3 linked regions of the Pelodiscus sinensis genome follow. The protein of the gene in region 3 interacts with the protein of the main gene of each other region in a pairwise test. Links are inferred from orthologs where the notes say so. Each region holds a gene or a part of one and is shown on either strand. Other genes may lie near its edges.

Evidence for each region. The genes of interacting proteins can lie anywhere in the genome.
Region 1: the proteins of REL (region 3) and CPNE2 interact in binary tests that used the Homo sapiens proteins (3 or more experiments, as listed by UniProt). The two-hybrid records come from large-scale screens. The link is inferred for Pelodiscus sinensis from reciprocal best matches to the Homo sapiens genes REL and CPNE2.
Region 2: the proteins of REL (region 3) and AQP1 interact in binary tests that used the Homo sapiens proteins (3 or more experiments, as listed by UniProt). The link is inferred for Pelodiscus sinensis from reciprocal best matches to the Homo sapiens genes REL and AQP1.

Annotation. Positions count from the first base shown.
Region 1 is NC_134722.1:43,490,909-43,498,767, reverse strand, and holds the start of CPNE2 (copine-2), read left to right. Parts: upstream 1-4,845; 5' UTR 4,846-5,231; intron 5,232-5,618; exon of another isoform or gene 5,619-5,752; intron 5,753-7,859.
Region 2 is NC_134712.1:249,461,903-249,469,338, forward strand, and holds the start of AQP1 (aquaporin-1), read left to right. Parts: upstream 1-4,422; 5' UTR 4,423-4,640; coding exon 4,641-5,030; intron 5,031-7,436. UniProt on the Homo sapiens protein: Forms a water channel that facilitates the transport of water across cell membranes, playing a crucial role in water homeostasis in various tissues.
Region 3 is NC_134713.1:180,083,854-180,091,161, forward strand, and holds the start of REL (proto-oncogene c-Rel), read left to right. Parts: upstream 1-4,292; 5' UTR 4,293-4,527; coding exon 4,528-4,534; intron 4,535-7,308. UniProt on the Homo sapiens protein: Proto-oncogene that may play a role in differentiation and lymphopoiesis.

The DNA of each region.
Region 1 (7,859 bases), on a different chromosome or scaffold from region 3:
ACACTAAGCTAGGGGGGAGAGGAAGATACACTGGAGTGTAGGGATAGAGTCTAGAATGATTTAGACAAATTGGAGGACTGGGCCACAAGAAATGTGATGAGGTTCAACAAGGACAAGTGTAGAGTCCTGCACTTGGGATGGAAGAATCCCAAGCACTGTTACAGGCTGGGGACCAACTGGCTAAGTAGCAGTTCTGCAGAAAGGGACCTGGGGATTACAGTGGATGTAGGAATAAGAGATCCTCCGGAAAAGGGCTTTTTTTCCGGAGGATCGGGGCCAGTGTAGACGCTCTTTTCCGGCTTTTCTAAAAGCCGGAAAAAAGCGGCGGACATTTTTATTTAAATGCCGCGGGGGATATTTAAATCCCCCGCGCATTTCCCTATTGCGATTTCAAAAATTACCATGCCCCTTCCAGAAAAGGGGCCAATGTAGACGTAGCCCTAAAGTTTTAACAAGTCTAGGTCCAGGAAAAAGGGAAAGTGGGTAAGTGCCCCTTTAAAATCTTTGACAAAGCACCCTGTGAATGGTATACACAAAGGGGAATAAAATAAGGGATAAGGGATCTTTCGGAAAAGGCTTTATTTTCCGAAAGATCCGCGTCTAGACTGGCGCTTTTTTCTGGCAAAGCTCCGTGCCGAAAAAAAGCGGCAGCCATTTTTATGCTAATGAAGCGGGGGAGATTTAAATCCCCGCTTCATTAGCAATTGCGATACGTCTAATTTGCATCCCTTTTACGAAAAAGGGATGCAATCTAGACATAGCCCCTGTGTATTTGGCTTGTGGAATTGGCCTGAAACAACAGGAATAGAGATGTAGTTGTGTTAGTCTGGTGTAGCTGAAACAAAAGACAGGACTATGCAGCACTTTAAAGACTAACAAGATGGTTTATTAGGTGATGAGCTTTCCAATCTAAGTCATTGGATGGATGCTTTCCAGAAGATCTCCTTCTGTACAGAGAACTTACGGACACTCAATTTGCTGAGCCAACGTACATGCAGGTTCAGGGGCGGTTGAAAGGACTTGAACAGTTTGAGTATTGACCATGCAAACTGAGATGCTGCTGCCAGCAATGGGCCATGTTGGAGGCCTGCACTGTACCAGAAATGCTGGTTCAGAGTCAGATAAGTGAAGAGAGCAAAGAGGAAAGCGAAGCAGCAGCAGGCCTCAGATGCTAATAGTGCACCAGCTTCATCCTCTGGCCCTGCACCTAGTGCCTGTACTGTTTGTGGCAAGGAAATTGTGGCTTGAGAACTGGACTGTTCAGCCACTCACAAAGCAGCAGCATGACAAGCCTGAACTGATCAGCTTTCTGGCTTACACCATTGTCTTTTCAGTCAGACAATTGCCATGTAGTCTAGCCAGCAGCAAGCATCTGCTGCATTTCTGTGTCACGTGAACCAGTATGACTGTAAACAATTCTTTGGCTGTCTTGTATATGTGCATATATAACACATCTTGCTTACCCAGACCACTGGTTTTGATCATGTCTGTAACAGGGCAGCTGCCCTGTTCTGGCCCTTTAAGAGTCAAACCCCAGCCTGGAGCAGGCCCGGGGCCTTCAGCCCAGCTGGGCAGCGTTGGCCAATTAAGGCCCAGCTGGGAGCCATAAAAGGGGAGGGCTGCTTCAGAGAAGGGTGTGGGCCTGGTGGCTGAGGGAGCAGGATGCTCCCTAGGGCTAGGCCAAGGGTGCTTGGACAGACAAATGGCTGGCCTGAAGTAAGGCCTGCTGGAGAGACACCAACCCCCTGGAAGGGGAGGCTCAGAGTGAGTGACTTGGGCATTGCTGGAGGGCAGTGTGGTGAAGAGAATGATGTGACTGGAGGATTCCAGAGGGGAAACCCCACGTGAACGGAGGCCTGTGCGGGCGGAATGGACTGATTCTGGGGACAGATGATGGACCCCTGCTATGGGGATGAGTGAACCCCTCACAATGTCAAATTCTTCAGTGAAAGGGGAACTCACTCTGGCTAGTCTAGGTTGCTTTAGCCAGAATTGTATCCTAGGTCTACACTATAGACCAGTGGTCCCCAATGTGGTGCCCGCGGGTGCCATGGCGCCTGCCGGGGCATTTGTGTGTGCCTGCTGACAACCTGAGCTGGCCCCGCCCCCAGCATGTGGCGCACTGGAGGCACTGGCCCCAGGAGGCGCCGGCCCCAGGTGCGTACCACGCACCGGTGCCTGGTGCGTGGTGCTCGGGTGGCCCCAGGCCTGGGGCACATGCAGGTGTGCGGTGCCGGTGCCAGGCCCGGGCCCACGGCACAAGGCGCTTGGGTGGCCCTGGGGCACATGCTGGCCCCTGGGTGCCCGGCGCGTGAGTGGCCCCGCCCCTGGGTGCCCGGCGCGTGAGTGGCCCCGCCCCTGGGTGCCCGGGAGCCTCTAAAGGTTGGGGAACCACTGTTATAGACTTATGTTGGTATAACTGTCTCGCACAGGTACACCAAACCATGGCAGCAGCACGATGTCGACAGAGCGTTGTTCTCTGCCAACCTGGTGTGGCAAGGTCAGTCCCAGTCCTGGGCCCCTGGCCAGTTCACAATCTCACAGATAGTTTAGGTACTGCAGCATGGGCCCCCCCTTGCCCTGGCCAGGGTTGGACTTCTGTCCCTGGGCTAGGAAGGCATTGGGGTAGGTGCCTCCAGTCAACCTGGGCTGGGTAAACAATCCTCCCCCACCACTGGTTGAACTCTCAGGCTACCTGAGGGGAAGAGAGCCCAAACACTCCTTATCAGAGCCCCCCCTCCCCCCCTTGCTGTCTTTGGCAATGCTGTTCACCTCATCAGCTTTTCTGACTCCCTCCTTGTCTGGTATAACCCTCTCCATCTCACTCCAACCGCCTGTCCCACTCCCCAAACTTCCCGCAGCAGGGAAGGCTTTTTAAAGGGTCCCGAGTGCCGCCTGAAGTGAGATCAGCTGGCCCTAATGCAGAGGTGGGCAATACTTTTAGACAGTGGGTCACTTCACCACTTTTTGGCGTGGGCCCGGGCCACCCTGTCATACTCTGGCAGAAGGGGCGGGGCCAGGACACTTCTGTGCTCCCCTGCCTACAGACCCTGACTGGCCTGGGGGTGGAGAAACAAGTCAAGTCTTTGCCCTTTGCCTCCCCTGCTTAGAGAGAACTGCCAGGTGTTCTGAACAGCTGGCAGTTCTGTTTAGGCATCTGCCCCCTCTCAGGGCAGGAGGAGACTTTGCATGCTTCCCCCACCCCCAGGCCAATCAGGGTCTGGGGGAGGGAGAAGTACACAAAGTCTCTTGCTCCCTGCAAGTGGCACACCATGCTTGCAGGGCAGGAACAGGGTGGGAGAGACTTTGCTTGCTCCTCCCTCCCACAGGCCCTGTTTGCCCTGGGGGTGGGGGAGTGGCAGAGCATCTATGGGCTGGATTGGGCCCATGGAGGCCCCTTTACCCACCCCTGCCCTAATTGATTTATAGTAGGCCTCCTCCCTCACCTCCGCTATTCCCACTCCACCCCTGGTAACTCTGAGTCAGCTGCTCCCTGCTGCCATAAACCAACCCTCTCCCAATTAGCCACCAATGTCCCAAACACTCATTGAGCCTACTGGGGGATGCTGCACACTGGCCAGTGGCAATAATAATGCTCTGTATTGCTGTAAGGAGAAAACAGCTTCCTGGATTTTCAACAGATACAGAATCATCATCTAATTCCCACTAGGCTGAGAAAGATCAAGTCAGTGCACTGCAGCATTTCAAAGACAGCATCTTAATTACAGCTGGGTGAGTAGTGAGGCAAATTACCCAGAAGTATTTCAGCAAGTTCTCAATACTGATTTGCTCTTACTGCCTTTACACAAGGGCTGTGTCTAGACTGCATCCCTTTTCCGTAAAATTTTAAGAGGAATAAGGGATCTTTCGGAAAAGGCTTTATTTTCCGAAAGATCCGCGTCTAGACTAGCGCTTTTTTCCGGCAAAGCTCCGAGCCGGAAAAAAGCGGCAGCCATTTTTATGCAAATGAAGCGGGGGGGATTTAAATCCCTGCTTCATTTGCAATTGCGATGTGTCTAATTTGCATCCCTTTTATGGAAAAGGGATACAGTCTAGACACAGGCAAGCATTTGCAGAAAATCATGCTAGTTGAGACGTAGCCAAAGTGAATCCGAATTTGACTCGATACAGGTACTAAAAGTGCTCCCCCCCCCTCCCAGGAGTGCAATAAGCACCATGAGTCACCTGTCACATACTTGTTTGTTCTCCCCCCAAGGAAGAAGCATGTGCAAGGGGGTGTTTCATGCTGGAAGGAAAAGCTATGTAGCACTTTAAAGACTAACAAGATGGTTTAATAGGTGATGAGCTTTCGTGGGCCAGACCCACTTGTACATAGTTTTTCCTTTTGTTTTAGCAAGATCAGACTAACACAGCTACCTCTCTATTACTATCCCGCTGGAAGGGTTTGTTTTCCAGTGCTTAATTTGCAAGAGAAGAGCTGTTGGGGCGCAAGGAAGTTTTTTACATTCATAGCTGACACACCCAGCCTGGAGGTGCTGGTTTGAGCCCTGGCCCATTGTGAAGCCTGGGGTATTTAACCTGCATAGCAACATGTAGGCTTTAGAGAAGGCAGATGTCCTTGCTTCCAGCATTCCAGAAGGGGGCAAAGCGTCCCAGGGGCCAAGTCCAGCCAGGGAAAGTGGCTTCTGGCTGAGATCTACTGGATCCTCAGCACAAGTTGGTCAATGGCAAAGTAACTCACGTTAGGCTGAAGCACTTTACAGGGCTAGCTCAGCCAATGGGCGCCCATGGCACGTGCTAACAGCAGCGGTTCGAAGGAATCCGGAGTCCCAGCAGCTCCCCAGAAATCCATCGCCCGCCGTGTGTTGGCGAGAAGCTGCTCGCACGTTGTGTGTGGGGCTCGGTCAAAGCGAGAGGCCCCGATCCTGCAGCTCTTCGGAGCTTTCGGAGCGCGGTCCAGGCCCAGGGATGCCCCCGAGGGCAGGATCGGGCCCTCGACTGGGCGGCACGTTACGAGCTGGTTTCCCCGGGCCTCGTTAGGAGCCCGGAGCGCTTCGCTCGCCTGCCCCCGCCGAACGGGCACAACCGCGGTTCCCAACAAGCCGGATTGGTGCAAACGTGCCGCGGGCGCGTCTCTTGCGCGGGCCGAGATTATTTACTTTGCAAGGACCAGCCACCTCGCCCAAGCTGTTCAAAGCGCGTCTCCCCCTCCGAGAGCCGGGCAGAAGCGAGCGCCTGAGGACGCTGCCCCTCCCCGGGAAGCGCTGCGGGTAAGAAGCACTTAGTGACAATCCACCTCCCTGGGGGTGGCGCCCGGCGTCTGTCCCCGGGGCAGCCGGGGAGCGGTGCTCCCGGAGTGCGGCGGGGAGGGGGGCTCGCTGCCGTGTCTCCTCGGGGGTGGGCTGGGGCCCTTGCGTGGGCATGGCTGGGCGCCGCGCGGCTTGCTCTGATCCCACCCCTCGCTCGCCCACTTACTAGGCGCTGCCTGGCGCCGCGCGTTGGGCGGGTCGCGGCCGGGAGCGCAGCGGTGCCAGGGCGGACCCAGCGCTGCTCTCCACCGGGCGCGGGCTGATCCGCGGCGCGGCGAGCTCCAGCGAGCCCGGGGACGTGGCCCTGCGCGCCGCGGAGCGCCCCCGTCGCGAGGAGCCGCTGCCTGGCTGGGGAGATGCTCACACACTGACCCCGAGCCCGCGGGGAAGGGTCCCCCTCGTGCCCGCTCCAGCCGGCGATGCCCCAGCAGCGCCCCGCGGCGGCTCGGTGAGCAGCGGGGGGCCTGGCCCCGGACCCGGCGGTAAGTCCCCCGGGGCTGGGCTCGAGGGGCCGCCTGCCGCTTCCAGGAGGGAGGCTGAGCGCGGCTGTTGCAGGGGCCGGGGGAGGCTCCTGCACCGCACGGGGCTTGCGGGCCCCTCTCGGCCGCAGCTCTGCAAGTTTCCCGGCAGTGGCGCCGGGCGGGCGGGTTGGGGCGGGGGTGAGGCTCGGCCTGACTCTGTGCATAGTTTAAATCCAGGAAACGGTTCGCCTCCGAGCGAGCGTCCCCAGCCCTGCCCTGCCCGGCAGCGCCTGAGCCACGGCCGCCGGAGGGCGCTTTGCAGCCCCTTCTACAAGGCCACGGGCACCCTGCGCTGGGCTGCGAGCGCCTGGCTCCGTCAGCTGCAGCTGCCCGGTCAAACCAAATGCTCACTGGCCCCTGCTGCTCCGCCTTCCTGCTCGGACATTGCTCCACGACTGCGCTGTCTGCTCTTCGCAGAGCCTGGGACCTGATGGCATTTGCCTTGCGCCTGGGATCCTCCCAGGCTCGCAGTAACTAGGGGAGAACCTCCGCTCTGGAGGAGTAATAGAGATGTAGCCGTGTCAGTCTGGTCTGACTGGAGCAAAAGACAGGACTATGCAGCACTTTAAAGACTAACAGGCTGGTTTATTAGGTGATGAGCTTTCCTGGGCCAGACCTGCGATTTTTTTCCTTTAAAGCTACTGAGCGCTCTCCCCTTCTAAAAGTATGAGAGACAATCCAAGTTCTTAGAGCATTGCAGGGAGAATCCATCACAGCTTGTGGATTCTGGCTGTGCCGATCAGGAGGCGAGGAAGTGAAGAACACTGCTTCTCTTGCAGCTTCCTAACAGCCCTTGGGTTCTCTGCCGTTGGGGGAGCCAGAAAGAAAGGCTCTGCTAATGTGGTAGGCTAAGTCCACACTGCAGCGCTATTTTGGGATATCCTGCATCTTCACAGCAAGCCTGTTACTTTGAAATACAATGTCCCTGTGAACCTCATTCCACGAGGAGCAAGGGACGTTTCGGAATAGCGGGTTATTTCGAAAATCTGGTGCTGTGTAGACAGTACCAATGACGAAATAAGCTATTTCGAAATTGACTCGAAATGAGCTACACTATTTGTGTAGCTCAAATTGCGTAGCTTATTGTGAGCTACTGGGGCAGTGTAGACGCACCTGTAGGGCCCTGCATCTATTCACCCTGAATGTTTAAGATACCACCTGGACATAAGAATGAGCCTGATTCTTGGCAGCAGCTCTAGGAACTTCAGGGATGGGTTTAGAGCCGATGGTACATGTGTCCTATGGCACATTTTAAAGCCCTTTCTTCTCTCTCAAGAGTTCTGCACTACAAATTGCTTGTCTTACTCATGCCGGTGACGCAGCTTACTCAGTACTACTTTGCTCCCACTCTGGCTGTCTTATCTATTGAGACTGTAACTTTTCAGGGTACTGTGTGTTCATAGGAAGAACAGTCAGGCCTAAATCTGGGTTATAGCTACCATAATACATGGCTATAGCAGCCCTGCTAACTTCAACAAGACTGCTGTTGTGAGTGTGGTGCTTAGCATCCAGCCTGGATTCACATATGCCCAAAGATTTACCTGGGAGAAGAGATCAGTGATCCACTTTGCATTCTGATTGTTAATTTCCACAGGCCCTGCACTTGGGTGCTTTGAGGTGTTGGATATCCTTCTGGCAGCTCAGTGCTGCAGGGTCCCCTCCCGCTTTTCTCTGCCCCACTTGCTGTGGATGCAAGTCATAGCAAATGTCAGTGAGCTTGTGAGTGTGCAGATGCTTGTTTGCCACCAGTGTGTGAGTGCCTTCACTTTTGTACGCTTCCCGTTGGCTGTTGTGATCCTCAATGCTATTTGCTTTGTAGCATCTGGGTCTGCTGAAACCTTGGTGGGTGATTAACTGCTTTGTATAGGAGGTGGTGGGAAGGGCTCCTTTTCTTTGTAGGAACAACTCCCAGTATTAGGCTATGGCTACATTGCGGTTTTTTTGCGGAAGAGGATATGGAAATCCCGCTCATATTTGCATATTTTCTTCCTATTCTTTTTGCGGAAGAGGTGTTGCCGATAAAAAGCTCCATGTAAACGGGACCATTTGTCGGAAAAAACCCCATAGT
Region 2 (7,436 bases), on a different chromosome or scaffold from region 3:
GGGGCAGGGCCCTCTGCCCCAGGGTCTATGATGACCAGGGGGGCACGGACTGTCTGACCCCCCAGGATGCGGTCCAGGGCCTCATAGTAGGGGCAGGCCTCCGGGTCAGCCCCTGGTTGGGAGGCCCTGGAATAGGCCTGCCGCAGCTCCTTGATTTTGCTGTGCACCTGCTCCTGGCTGCGTATGTGGCCTCTGGTGGCCAAGCTGGCAGCCATGCAGCTGTGGACGGCCACATTCCTGTACCTAATGTTGAGATCATGGACATTGGAGGCCTCCCCCCAAATCTCAATGAGGCCCACGATCTCCGCACTTGACCAGAAAGGCACCCGCCTTTTGCGGCCCCTGACAGGCTCTTGGAAGCCGCCAGCCTGGTCCTGGGGAGCGGTGTAGGGCTGGGTGTCAGCGGGTGGCTGGCTCATGCTGTGCCAGGTGCACGGTCTGCTGGCTGTGTGCTGTCAGGCTGGCAACTGGCACAGGCACTGTGGCCAGAGTCTGCTCCTTTAAGGGCTCTGGGGCTAGGGCGGGAGCAGACAAGTTTTCCTGGTTTGGCCCAGAGTGGCACCAGGGGGAACTGGGAAGGGCTGGAGGCCCCCTAATTCGAAATAAGTGTCTACACAGCACTTATTTCGAATTAGCTATTTCGAATTAGGTGTTATTCCTCGTAGAATGAGGTTTACCTAATTCGAAATAAGGGCTACGCTCTTTCGAATTTATTTCGAAACAGCAGTTTGTATGTGTAGACAGCTATTACAGTTAATTCGAAATAACGTCTGTTATTTTGAATTAACTCTGTAGTGTAGACATACTTAGACTCCCAGGATAGCGCACATCTCTTCTCCTTTGACTTTTAAACTCCCTTCACATCAGTGGAAAACTCCCGGAGATACGATGTTTGCTCTGTTGACAGCAGAAAACACATTTCAAAGGAGAACCCAGTATTGTGTCTCTCATTCAAATGGCAGGGAAATCTGAGCAATTAGGCATATCAGGAAGGGTAGAATAAACTCCTTGCATAAAGCTAATGAACTAAAGTATTTTATGAGGGTTTGTCCACTTGATGCATTAATGCTGACTGTGGGCTGTGATTTCTAAAGCATACTGACATGTTGCACACTGATCGGCCTGTGGACCCTGCTGGTGCACTCTGAAGGTGACCTGGGCTATGTCTGCACAGCAGCGTTATTTTGGAATAACTAACGTTATTCTTTAAAATTTAAAAAATATACGGAGATATACCTATCTCATAGAACTGGAAGGGACCTTGAAAGATCATCTAGTCCAGATCCCTGCCCTCAGGTAGGATCAAGTACCATCCCTTACAGATTTGCCCCAGATCCCTAAATAGCTCCCTCAAGGATTGAACTCACAACCCTGGGCTTGAGTGAAATAACAAAGAGCATATCTACACTGCAAGCCATTATTTCAAAATAATAACAAGCTGGACGACTTCTTACTCTGACTCTTGGTAACCCTCATTTCATGAGGAGTAAGGGAAGTCAAAGGAAAAGCACTCTTCCTCCAACTTCCTGCCGTGTAGACGTGCCAAAAGCCGAGTTAAGCTACTCTGACTCAAGCTATGCAATTGACGTAGCTCAAGTTGTGTAGCTTATTTTGGCTTTAGCCCTGCTGTGTGGACGTACCCCAGTGAGCTCTAACAGCATACTGCATTAATCATTTGGCATGAGACATAGGGTTGCTTGCTAGGGTGATCTGAAGATATCTCAGCAAATCAATTCCCTGCCATTGCAGAGGGCTGGGGCCCTGGTACACCAGAGCACCTGAAGATCTCTGCTTGTGGCACACACTATTTTAGTTCTGTGAGGGCTCTAATACTTGAGTCTAATTCAGCTGGTTGGGTTTGCTGCTGGGGTGGTGAGGGACATTCAGTAGCCTGTTGTGTAGAGGAAGTCTGACTGATGTGCTGGTCCCTTTTAGCCTTAAACCGTATGGCTGTGTCTAGACCGGCCGCTTGAATTTCCACAAGAACACTGACTTCCTACTGTCTGAAATCAGTGCTTCTTGCGGAAATACTATGCTGCTCCCGTTTGGGCAAAAGTCCTTTTGCACAAAGCTTTTGCACAAAAGGGCCAGTGTAAACAGCTCAGATTTGCTTTGCGCAAAAAAGCCCCGATGGCGAAAATGGCGATCGGGGCTTTTTTGTGGAAAAGCGCGTCTAGATTGGCACGGACGCTTTTCCGCAAAAAGTGCTTTTGTGGAAAAGTGTCCGTGCCAATCTAGACGCTCTTTTCCTCAAATGCTTTTAATGGAAAATTTTCCGTTAAAAGCATTTGCGGAAAATCATGCCCGTCTAGATGTAGCCTGTGACTTTTATGCACATGGAAGCTGATGCAGATAAGATAGGATGATATATCATAGTATTACAGAGGTATCATTGGCAAACATAGATTTCTGCCTGTATCTCATGCATTCTTTCTCTGATTGCCACCAGTTTTTGTACTCTACCTCTGTACTATTATTATACTGAGGGGACTGACAGAATTGCCCCTGAGCAAGGTGGGGAGTGCCTGGCTCTTTGCTCCTGGAAAAGGCAGGGCTTTGGGCAGAAAGGGTGGAGTTGGGGCATGCAGTGTTTTGAGGGCCATTTAAAGATCTCGGAGTTCTGGCCTCCATTGTGGTAGCAGTCCTTTTTCTTTGTTGTTGCTGTTTTGTTTCACTGGTGCAGATATATTTTGTAGGTGTATAAAGCCTGTCCTAAAGAAAACCAAGCACATCTGCTGAACAGAAAGTATAAGAACATAGCACAATAGATTGCAAACAGGTTAGCACCTGGATTTTGATTTTACATGAAATTAAATTGAAAAGAACTGAATATCTTTATAAAAATCTCCTTGACTACATAACATTAGCTCTGTGTGTATCTGTCAGATTTTTTTTTCTTTTTTCATACCCATAGTACATGCTGTGTGAATTTAAAATCTCAAATGGCAAGTAGGTAGAATTATAAATTCATAGCAATACATAATAATAATGGTAAACTTTTTTTTTCTTCTCCAAGAAGAAGGAAAAAATCAGGCTGATTTTAAATTTATTCATGCTCTAAGAACTGTTTCCCCACCCCTGAATTTGGATCAGCTCACATAGGAACTTTGAAGCCAGTGTTTGAAAAATGAAGATACTTTGACTTAGAGAACAATGAATTGCCAGCCTTTAAAGTGCACACAGATCTGATAACACAGGGGAGGTAAGCCAATGAAATTGCACGGGTCTTAAGGCGGCAACAACTGAGGCTCTTAGACCTTTGGCACTTAAAGATGTATTGGCACCTTTGCAAGATTAATTTTGTATGCAAAATAAAGCACATCGTTTTCATCTTCCTCTCTGGCCAGTACTGTTTATCTGCAGCAGCAGAAGCCAGTCGCCGTGGTGACAACCAGCACAGCTGCCCTCTGGAAGACGGAGGTTAAAGAAAAGTTTGCATACAACTTTCACTGCAGGATTTGGGCAAGTACTCCAGCGTTGTGCTTATTTACTGAGAATAGGGGTGTTAACAGGGGAAGACTTGAGAGACCCTAATAGTTGTTACAAGAACATAATAAAATGGGTGCATAGTATATAGGCTATTTGTAAATATATATGAATGGCACATGCACATAAATGACAAGTACAACACACACACACACATATTTTATTTGGGGCCAGATTCTAATCTCAATTACACCGGTAAAAACCAGAATAGCTCCACTGTCTGCAGTAGAATTATTTCTGATCATATAGTTATGCATTATAAATTCTACAATTTATAATATATATAAATATATACATAAATGTGTAATATCTGGGTTTCTATTATTCCTCTCCAGCTCACCTGATGAAGTGGATTTTGCCCATGAAAGCTCGTGATACTATATATATCTTTGTTAGTTTTTAGGGTGCCACAGGACTACTCGTTGTTTTTAAAGTTACAGACTAACGCAGCTATCCCTCTGAGACTTTCTGATCATAATTAGACATGTATAAAGCCTCCAAATTACTTCAGTGAAGTTCTTCCAGATTGACACCATAAAACCCCCTTGGGATCTGAAACAAACTATAGAGTCTTTATAGATTGACACCAGTGCCTGATTTAAAATGAAATACAGTGTGATCTTTACAGTCTCTAGAGAGCACTTTTAGCTGTCAGTTTTATTATTTATCCACTTTCGCAGCCTGCCTCTGCTGTAACTGAGAGCAATTAAAACACAATCCTGCACAGATACCTTTTGGTTGAGTCCAAAGAGAGAGAGAAATCCTGTAAAACCTTGAAGCCCAATCTGCATGCTCAATGACCACATAGAGGGTAACCAAATGATGGTAAAACTTCTGGGGCACCCCCTACACATTCTTTTATAAGGATTTTAAAAAGCCTCTTAAAAACAGCAGCAGAGATCGGAGTTTCTGAGGGGAGGGGAAAAGAGGAAAAAAAAAGTAGAGAAGAAAAAACTTTGGCACGCATGTACTGCCTTACATCAATCTATGTAGATGTTCTTTCCTCCTTTTGTGTAACACCCCTTTCCTCCTACAGACCACCCAAAGCCCTATAAATAATCCAAGCACTCTGTTTTTTCTTCAGCTTTCTCCTCAGACCTCAAAAGAAAAATATCAAGCAGGGGAAGGGAGGGTGTGTGAGAGAGAGAGAGAAGATGGCTAGTGAATTCAAAAAGAAAATGTTTTGGAGGGCAGTAGTGGCTGAGTTCTTAGCCATGAGCCTCTTTATTTTTATCAGCATCGGCTCAGCACTGGGCTTCAATTTTCCTGTAGTCGGCAACAAAACAGCAACAGCCACTCAAGACAATGTAAAAGTCTCTCTGGCTTTTGGGATCGCTATTGCCACCATGGCACAAAGTGTGGGTCACATCAGCGGTGCGCACCTGAACCCGGCGGTGACCCTGGGTCTTCTGCTGAGCTGTCAGATCAGCCTCTTTAAGGCTTTCATGTACATTGTTGCACAGTGCCTAGGGGCCGTGGTGGCCACGGCGATTCTTTCGGGAGTCACTTCGTCTCTTCCAAACAACTCCCTTGGACTCAATGCGGTAAGCAGATAAGCTTTTCTCTTTCACTTTCAAGAAGTGCAAAAAACTGTGTTTAAAAGAGGTTTAATCCAAAACCCACTGAAGTCAATGGACACCTTTGCCTTGACTTCAGTTGCCATAGGATCAACTGTTTAAGGCTTATACGGTCACTTGGTAGCACAGCTACTCCTATAATCCTAAGGATAGCTAAACCATCTTCTATAAACTCCAGTCATCTGAAGAAGTGGGCTGTGCCCACAAAAGCTGATGATACCATCTATATGTTTTGTTAGTCTATAAAGTGCTACCAGACCATGTGTTGTTTTTCTGTTTATCCTGTACAGACTAACTCGGTTAGTTAGCATCTTCTGTAAGACAGAGATCAAAGAATGGTCCTCTTTCCCCTGAATCAAGGTTGTATGTTTGTGATTACTGGAATCACATTATGTTTGTGTTTGCTTTTCTGTGTCAAGCATGAGATAATCAATGCTACCTAATGATTTTTAGATGCCCTAATGATTTTTAGATGCCCGATTCTCATTTAGAATGATTGGTAACTGGGTGTTCGAATTCCTTAGCAGACTTTGAAAATCTCAGGCTACGTGCCTGGTTCTGGTGATGGATGTACATTTGTATTGTGTTCAGGTTACTCTGGGAGGCTGTCAGATTAGGGGTTCAGATAAGGCCAGCTAGGATGCTGTGTAAGAACATTGGTACAAATCTAAGTAACCACAGAGAGAAAAAGAGGGAAAAGGGGTAGGGGCAGGAGAGATCGGTAGCAAATGAAACCCTGTGGTCAAAACTCTACAATGAAATGCTCTTGGTGCAGATTTGCTCTCTGATATAGAGTCATAGCTGCCACTTGTGTTTTTGTTTATTCATAAACAGACATATGGAAATGTCGAATTGTGAATTGCACTGTTCGTGAGGCGGGGAGGCAACTGTCTATGAAGGCACCCTGGATTCAACACTTTTACAACCAGATGTTTTTTTGGCTGTGTGACTGTGGACAGGCATTTCATTAAAGCTGCTCCGATCATTTAAATGCAGCTGTTCCTCCTTAAAAGGTTGGCATTTGGCCAGAGTGGCATCTAAATGGATACACATATCTTTAAGCATTTGTCTGGCTTAGAAGGAACCTATTTTCAGTTTCAGTCACATAACCACAAATACCTTGTTAGTGCTACCTATAAGAATATTAAAGCTGGGATTTCCCTTATGGCTAGTTACTCGATCTGGTTGTATAAAGTGCATTTATTTCACATCTTCTGGCTGTTCCCGCCCATATAAAAAAATTAAGCTGCAGTTTGTGACATTAATATTCAGCATCCAGTTTAATTGAGGGAGCATATTTGCAAGTGAAGAGTTTGATCAGAATGTGATTTTACTATAAGTAACTCCTTTAGAAGAAAGAGAAACAAACAAAAAAGTCAGGGAGTATGAAATGAACAAACAATGTAGTGTGGTTTAACATACTGTGGAGTCATAGGCAACTACAATTAATATTATGAAAAATATAGTGAACGTTGATATTTAATTCATTACTCCAGACTAAAATTGGGTGTCGTCAGTCTTCATGTTCTATTCCAATATAGGTTGCTTGTTTACCTTTCTGGAATCTGTGGATACAGGAATTTGATAATCCATCTATCCACTCAGCTTCTAAATTTGGATAATAATTATGGGTCTGACTCAAAGCCCAGGGGAAACAATGAGAGTCTTTCCATGGACTTCAGTGGGCTTTGGATCAGGATTTAAAAAATGGTATGTACTCATTCCCTGTGAAACCAGTGCCAGGGGGAACTAGACCATGCAGGAGTGAAACACATGGGACATGAAGTAACCAAAGAAGGCTCCTGCAAACACCTAGCTGCCAGCTGCCATTAAATGCGGGTGGTCTGTTTCCCAGAGTTTTAGCATTTGGATTTCCTCATCTGCACACTGGGCAGCCATAAAACTCTTGCACATTGGTTCACCCTAAAATTCAGAGCCCTGAATCTGGACTTCTGTAGAGTGGGTACGTGACACTAGTCAAAACCCCTCTTGTTTCTTTGACTACCTCCAAGTTACAAGGATTATATACACTGGGTGCAGGCAAGGGGTCTATGGACCTTGAAGAGAAGGTGTCAGGGAGGCGGGGGGAAATTCAGAAGATGGTGCTGAAATGACAAGAAGGCAGGGAAGAAAATCATACAGGGCTAATAAAGCAAATACGGGCTGTCTGGGAAAGCAACCATCCCTTTAGAAAAAGTGTGTCCTCCACTTGGGCATGTGGCCTCAGCTTTTAAACAGACCACAAAATCAGGAACTACTGTATTTTCCGGCGTATAAGATGACTGGGCGTATAAGACGACCCCCTAATTTTCCAGTTAAAACATAGGTTTTGGCCTATACTCGCCGTATAAGACTACCCCCCCTTCCGAGGCA
Region 3 (7,308 bases):
GAGTACCATAGCTATGATGACCCAACCCCCATTGCAGACTCAGATAAGTCAATGAAAGAATGCTTCTGGTAACCAGCTGACATTGCTTGGGGAAATGAAGCATCTATAGTGATGGAAAAAATCCTTCAGTCACTATAGGAAGCATTTATTCTACAATGCTACAGCAGAATTTCTATCAATGTAGCTGTGCTGTGGTAGCCGTACTATACACCATTGCTGTGAGAGCTCTCTCACATTGCTGTGTCTAGAGAACTTTCTCTAAGTGAGAGTGAGTAGCTCAGCCCAGTCTCTGTTAAGCTTCAAACATGAATAAGCTCTCAGATAAATAAAATTAAAACTACAATAGATGCAAGTCAGCAACAAAATGTTTCTATACAGTATTAAGTTTTCTTATGTGATGTCAAGGTAGACAGTTCTTTCTATGGGGGCAGAGTTAAGGTCGTTAGAAGCATTGTTTTGAGGAGCACAACCTTAACCCTGAATTTTCTAGGTACTGTCATTTTTTAAAAATATAATGTTCTTGGGTTGCAGAATGCTCTCCAGACACTGATATGTGCCTGCTAGGAATAGTTTGAAAAATGGGCCCATGGACCAGCTCCTGCAAGCCCTAAGAGATCCAGTCCTGCAGAAGTTAGGAGGCATAGGGGAAAAGGGAATAACCCATGCCATGTTGACTACTAAGTGTCCTAACTCCAGTTTCTGGACAGGAGGGGGAGACCTCTGAAGAACTGGATAATGGTCTCTTCTTATAGCACATAGGAAGGGGGAGAGGAAAAATATGTCTAGGAAGAGGCTTGGGGATCAGCAATAGCAGGATGAGAGGGGGAGGGAAGAACCTCTCTAATTAGGATCCTAAGTTCCCTGCAGCTCTAGCTCCTCCGCCATACCAAAACTAGCTTCTGAGTCTGAAACATTCTTACACATGGTTCAGGATTCACAGACTCTCACTAGTCATGACAGGTTCACCAGCAATCCCCATTCTGTGAACTGTTGGTTGGAAATAATCCTTTTTTTGTTCCCTTTCCATTGAGGAGCCTCTCTAGTGGTCAGGTTTCCTCTTAAGATCTGTCTGTTCAGGGAAAGAGAGAGAGGCTTCTTCTTCTTTTCTTTTGTATTGAAACCATAAGTCTCTCTTAATTCCGTGACATCTTGTAAACTGGATTGCACGCTTAGCAGCTGGGGAAGTTACACTTTACTTCATATCTCTTTCTTCATGCCTTGTTTTACTACCAAAACTAAAACCCAGCATAAATTGACTCCACTCAGGGTCTTTCCAGGATCAACAACTGGGAGGAGCGAGGCTGTAGCCTTCCCCTTTCCTTTTTATTACCCTGTCAAAACCAGTTATATAATAGGCAGGACCTTTTGCATGTCAGAACATATTTTCAGCTGAATTAAGTTCACCAGTTTAGAGCAGATATTCCATAGCAATGTTAGCAATGCAAAAGTAAATTCACTTTTGACATTAGAATTTAATCACCTAAAATTTGATGTTGGACACAGAATTTCAGCTATTAAAAGACTGAATTTTATTTTTTCCTCTCTCTTGCTTTATGGATGTTTTTGTTTACTTACAAAGTGGCAACAAAATTAGAATATTTTTTTAAATTAATCAATCCACTCTTTCCAAGCTATCATAGTTCTGGAACCCCTTATCCAAATCACTTCCAAATCTCTCTCTTTTTCTCTCTGTAAAATCAGACTTGTGTTAGAAAATCTAAACTATGGCTCCCATGTAAATATACCTTTCTTGGGGTATTTGTTTGACACCTGTTAGTATCTAAGGTCCAAATCCTCAAAGGCATTTAGGTGCTTAATTCAATCAGCATCTTATAAAGTCCACTCCTAACCCTGTAGAGCTTTAGGATGCAATATGTGTGAAAGGTGCTGTACAAGTACAATACATCTGAAGTTTTGATTTTTTGGGGGAAAAAATCAATATGTATTCCTGTTCCAAGCAATAAATATACAAACAATGTTTGTTACATCTGTGGACCACTGAATTTCAATGATCTAGCCATTCATCCCTTTCAAACCTTTAATCAGGAGCAAAAGAATAGAGATTTGGATAATCTTACAGCCTAATCCAAAGGATTTCTTTATTTAGTTTTTATGTATACAGTTTAATAAATTAATTTGTACTACACCCAGTACATATGTAATAAAGCCTACCATGCTAACAATTGAATAGATGTGCAATACATAACATACTTGTCCTGATCCTTGGCAGGTGTAAAAGGCACAGTTCTCTAGAAGCAGAGGAGCTCTGTTGATTTAAACCAGCTAAAGTACTGATGCTAGGAATTTAGATAATATTATTGAGACAGAAGCCTGCAAATTTTAATTTTGTTTTGTAAAGGGAAAAAAAGTCTCTAATTTTACATACCTGCTAGTACAGGAAAAGTCAACTACGGATATTTAGGGAGGAAAAGTGCTTTTTTAGCCCAGTGTACAAAGTGATAGGGAGAGCATGTCTAGAAACATGGAACCAAATTCATACCTGATGTAGGCAGATTCTCATTTACTTCCATTGGGTTGCATTGGCCTACAAAATGATGAAAATAATATTATGCTACAATTTGTCCAATCCTTCTTACTTCAGGTCATAAATTGGTATGTTTGAATTTAAATATTTAAAAAATATGATTTCCTGTTTTGGTGTTTAATGTATTATCCTAATATGCCTAGTTTAAAATAAAAAAGGCTGAGATAGGAAGAAACATGACAGAAAATATCAGTTCAGTGCTATTCTTCAGTACATTTTCAAGCCATCGTTACTGTACTAATTTTTAATGTGTCTTGTTCAAGAATGTTACTTTAGATTTGTTGTTTATTACTTGCCATTATGTATGATTGAAACATTCTCAATTAAAAGATTTAAATGCTAAAAACTTGTTGCTAGCTCAGTGCAAAGTAATCCTCACGTCACCAAAAAAAAATAAAAAATCTGTGAGCAGGGATTCTTTTACTCTTTTAGACTCGCTCAACATTGACCTCTCTGCAAATCATGGAGGTTGGAGCCAGTATGGCACCTGAATCTAGATTTCTGCAAAGTTCAAGGGATGTCTGTAAACTGTTCCAATTCAACTAATTAAAGTAGTAGGACTGAGTTAGGGATGTAAAATCCCATTTAATCTGTTAACTGGAAAAATATTATGGTTAACTGGTTAACTGCTTAAACTGGGGCAGGCATGAAAAAAATGTTAAAATCTTGAATTACAGCCACTCCCGGAGTTACGACCACCTCCACTTACGACCATCCGCACTTACAACCAAAGCAGTCATAAATACGGATCCGAGTTACGAACGGCGATCTGCGCTTACGAACAGTGCGGTCACCATGTAACTCTCTGGGATCCAAGTTATGAACACTTTGAGTTACGGACCAAGTGTTGATCCGTAACTTATTCGTAACTCGGAGAGCAGCTTTGTTTTTAGTATGTCACAATTGAGGAATCAATTGTCAAATTTGCTAAAAATATCATATTTAATCTACTAATGTTGGTTATTATAGTCTGGGAAATAAGGAGCTCAATTGGTCATTCAATTGCAACCATGATTATGGAGCTGCTTGATACTGATACTGCAGCAGTGTGAGAGAGTGTAATGCATTGCACCCAAGTGGGACGATTGCCTGGACATCTTGTGCTTGTTTTACACATAGGCAACATTGTGAATTTTGTCATGCCCATAGATTACTGTTGAATTGACTTACTGTGTTTCATCTGAAGATGTGGGTTGTGCTCATGATACCATCTACATGTTTTGTTAGTCTCTAAGGTGCTGTAAGACTATTCGTTGTATTTTAAGTTGTAAGTTGTCCCGTCTGAGGTTCGCACTTTTAGATATTTCAAAAGCACGTCTCTTGGTATCAATGTGGCTACCCCGTGTGTGTGAATTATAATTATATATGGGGTACCTGTACGGTGTGAAGAGGGGCTGTGTGTATTTGTGTGAGATAGAAGCAGAAGAGGAAAATCTGTGCATGCCCAGCAGAGAGGGCACTTTCACACTACCCCACAAGCTGACAGTGAATCAGGAACCGCCTGAACCTGTCTTGCCAGTGGCAACAGAGGACAGCGCCCCAGCTAGTGCTGGCATGCGAGGCGTATGTTACACTCTAGCAGCCAAGCGAGGGTCAGCCTGGCATGCGAGGAGGTGCAGCTGGAGGAAGCAGGTTGGGGGCGGGGAGCAGCCAGCAGATCGCTACACCGCGGCGTGTGGGCACTGCATGTAGCTCTGTAGCACGGAGGGGGGAGGGGACAGCTTGCTGCTACTGTAGGTAGGTGTATCCCCGCTGAGATCATCCCTCCCCTCCCTTCCCCTCAAGCGTACAGCACAGGGCAGCCGCAGCAAGCGTGGGGGGGAGACCGGCCTTTTTGAGTCCGACGTCACCAAGCCGTCACCCTAGCGGGAAATTCCCAGCCGTAGGGAGGAGCGGCCGAGGTAGGGCCGGGACCAGCTGAGCCGGAGCATCAGGAGAGCGCGGAACCGCCGCCGCGGAGAGTCCCGGGCTGAGCGGGCACCATGGCTGGTAAGTGGCTGCAGGGCGCTCTCCATAGGGCGCCTTGCGCTCGCTGCGTGGGGCCAGCTCCTCTGCAGCCCGAGCCCCGGCGGGGCGGCCGGTGGAAGGGCTGCCCCGTGCAGTGTGGGGACATGCAGTGATACGGAGCTTGGGCTTGCACTGCAGGCTGTAGCGTCGATCTCCTGTACGCGTGCAAAAGCCTCTGAAGCCCCGAAGGGCTTAGCGGGTGAGGAGAGGTCACCTGGGGGGCTGCGAACAGTGCAAGCGTGTGACGAGGTGCCTAACTTCCGTACAACCGGCAGTGAGTTGGGCTGGCGTGCCCTCCTCACCCAGCTTGGGCAGAGCTCTGGGCTTGGCAGAAGACACTTGCCTTCTATTCCTGCCGTGAAGACATCTGCTGCCAAGAGAGGCTCGATTGACATTATCTGACCTCGCCCAATGGCAAGTTTCTGAATCTGACATGGCTGTGTATTCAGGGTCTACTGTGTGCGCACCGACCTAAACAAAAACAGCTCCACCAAGGCCTTGATGAGAATATGACTTGAGTGTGACACACAGGAAGAGGTGGTGAAGGAAAGAATTAATTTTTGTTGTTGTTGTTGATGAAGGGAAGTAGCCGTGTGAGAGCTAGTCGATGAGGAAGTCTGTTCACATGACATGAGTTTCAAGTGTGGCTTTTTGTAAGAATGCCGGCAGAATTTTATAAGACCAAATTCACCATGGGTGTAAATGTCAGTAGTTCTGTTCACTTCACTATAGTCATGTCCCCAACATTTAAAATTCCTCCTTCCGCTACTACTTTCTATGATAAATCAATCAAAGAGAAGAATATGAAACAAGTGTAAAATATACACACAAATATGCCTGTGCCTGAGCTTATCACAAAATTTACACCATGTGAAATTTTCTGTGGTAGAAGAACAAAATTAAACAATACGTTTATGAATACTCAAGTAATTTTCTTGACACAGTTTGGACCAAATTTTCAGACTTGGATATTAAAAAGTAAGGCATCTAAATCTGTATTCAAACAGTTAAATATCTGAGTTAGGTCCCCAAATCCCTATTAAGATGCCTAAAATAGGTGTTTAGTTGTCTAATTGTGAATATTCACATTTGAAAATGCAACCCCAATGTTCTGTTTTGTTTGCAGTTAGTGTATATAGGAGAATATAACAAACATTATATAAGGGACAGTCACATTCACTTTCCCTCAGCTGTCATTTGGTTGAAGGTGGGAGAGGAAAAGCTGGTTATTTGATCAATATGAATGTCCTTTAACAAAAAAAAACCCAGCGGTGGTGGCATGAGAGGGGGGTGAGCCCATTTTAGAACCTCTTCTGAGAACCTACTCCTTAGGTAGACATGAGCTCCATCCACTGCTCTGACATCTGCAATAGGCTTGCTAGATCCCTTCCATACTCACATCCATGGTACAGGTGGATGAGCACTAACCCCCTTTTCACAAACATCTGACTGCTTTGTTTGTACGAAGCTCTCCCTGGGTGCTAGTTTGTTCCCTCCTTTGCTGCTTAACATCTGGGAGGAAGGCACTGATTCTTATCCTGCCTTACCTTCCCTGTAATAAAGCAGGGTTTTTTTGAGGAGGGGTGGGAAGGAGGAGAGTAAATGCCTGCCAGTGGGAGGGAGCTTTGGAGAGTCTTCCTTTTCCTATCAGGGCATCCAAGGAACCCAGGCTCCTTCTCAGCTGTCATAACTGGGAATGAGATTTATTTCTACTGTGAGCATGGGTATTCCTAAAGGGCCTTAAAGGTGTCATTTTATCCCTTGGAAAGAAGGTAGCAAAACTTTTAAATAAAAATAAATGGTCACCATATTGGACAGTTGGTGCCTCTGATCCTTGTGGGTTGTGGCAGTCTTGAGGGTAAGAGAGAGTTGCATTTCAATCACCCAGAAATGTCCTAATTGCAAGAGTTAATATAACATGAAAAGCCCCAGTTGTTTAAGAGGTGTGTCTTAACTAATTCATGCATGCAGTGATTTTTGAGGCTCAATATATATTGCACATGAACAGGTTATGAAAATTACTAGTGATTTTTGGCTGCTTAAATATGTAGGTACCCAACTTCAGACATCTTAAAGGGATATGACTTTCTAAGGGTAGGTGTACAGTGCCTATACATTGTCTCAAGTTGAGCACCTAAAAATGGAGTGCCTCCCTTCCTAAGTCACTAGTTGCATCTGAGAATCTTGGCCTATTTTTGTTATTCATTAAGAATAATAAGCCAAGATTTTCAGATGTTTTGCTAAAAAGGCGACAATCACAATTTTTAGAAGCAATATTAAATCCTTGTCCAAGTAGCTCTTAGGTAGCCATAAGGAATAAGTTAATGAACAAACATAACATCTGAATTAATTAAAACATTAAAAGATTCTGATAATGTTCAAAATGGCTCATTGAAATATAAAAGAAAAATGAATCCTTGTTCAAATAAAGAGACTAAATTTACAGTATATGTCTCAGATTGGGGCAAACATCAGTTGGCTAATGTCAGCTTAGTGCTTAACTGATCCCAATTCAAATTAGAAGAGGTGATGGCCAAAATAAATTAGTATGAAAGGGAGAGGCAGTACCATTGAAAGTGATCACAGATTTGGTAGCCATAGGAATCAAAGTTCTAATTTAGTTTCTCTTGGTCTCAGCAAAGTCCTTGCATTCCACATCCTTTGAAAAGTTTGTCCTCAGGCATGTTTCATAAGGATTTAATAATTTTTAGTTTTAGAACTGGTTGCATGAATTAGAGTGATTGCTGGCAAGAAAA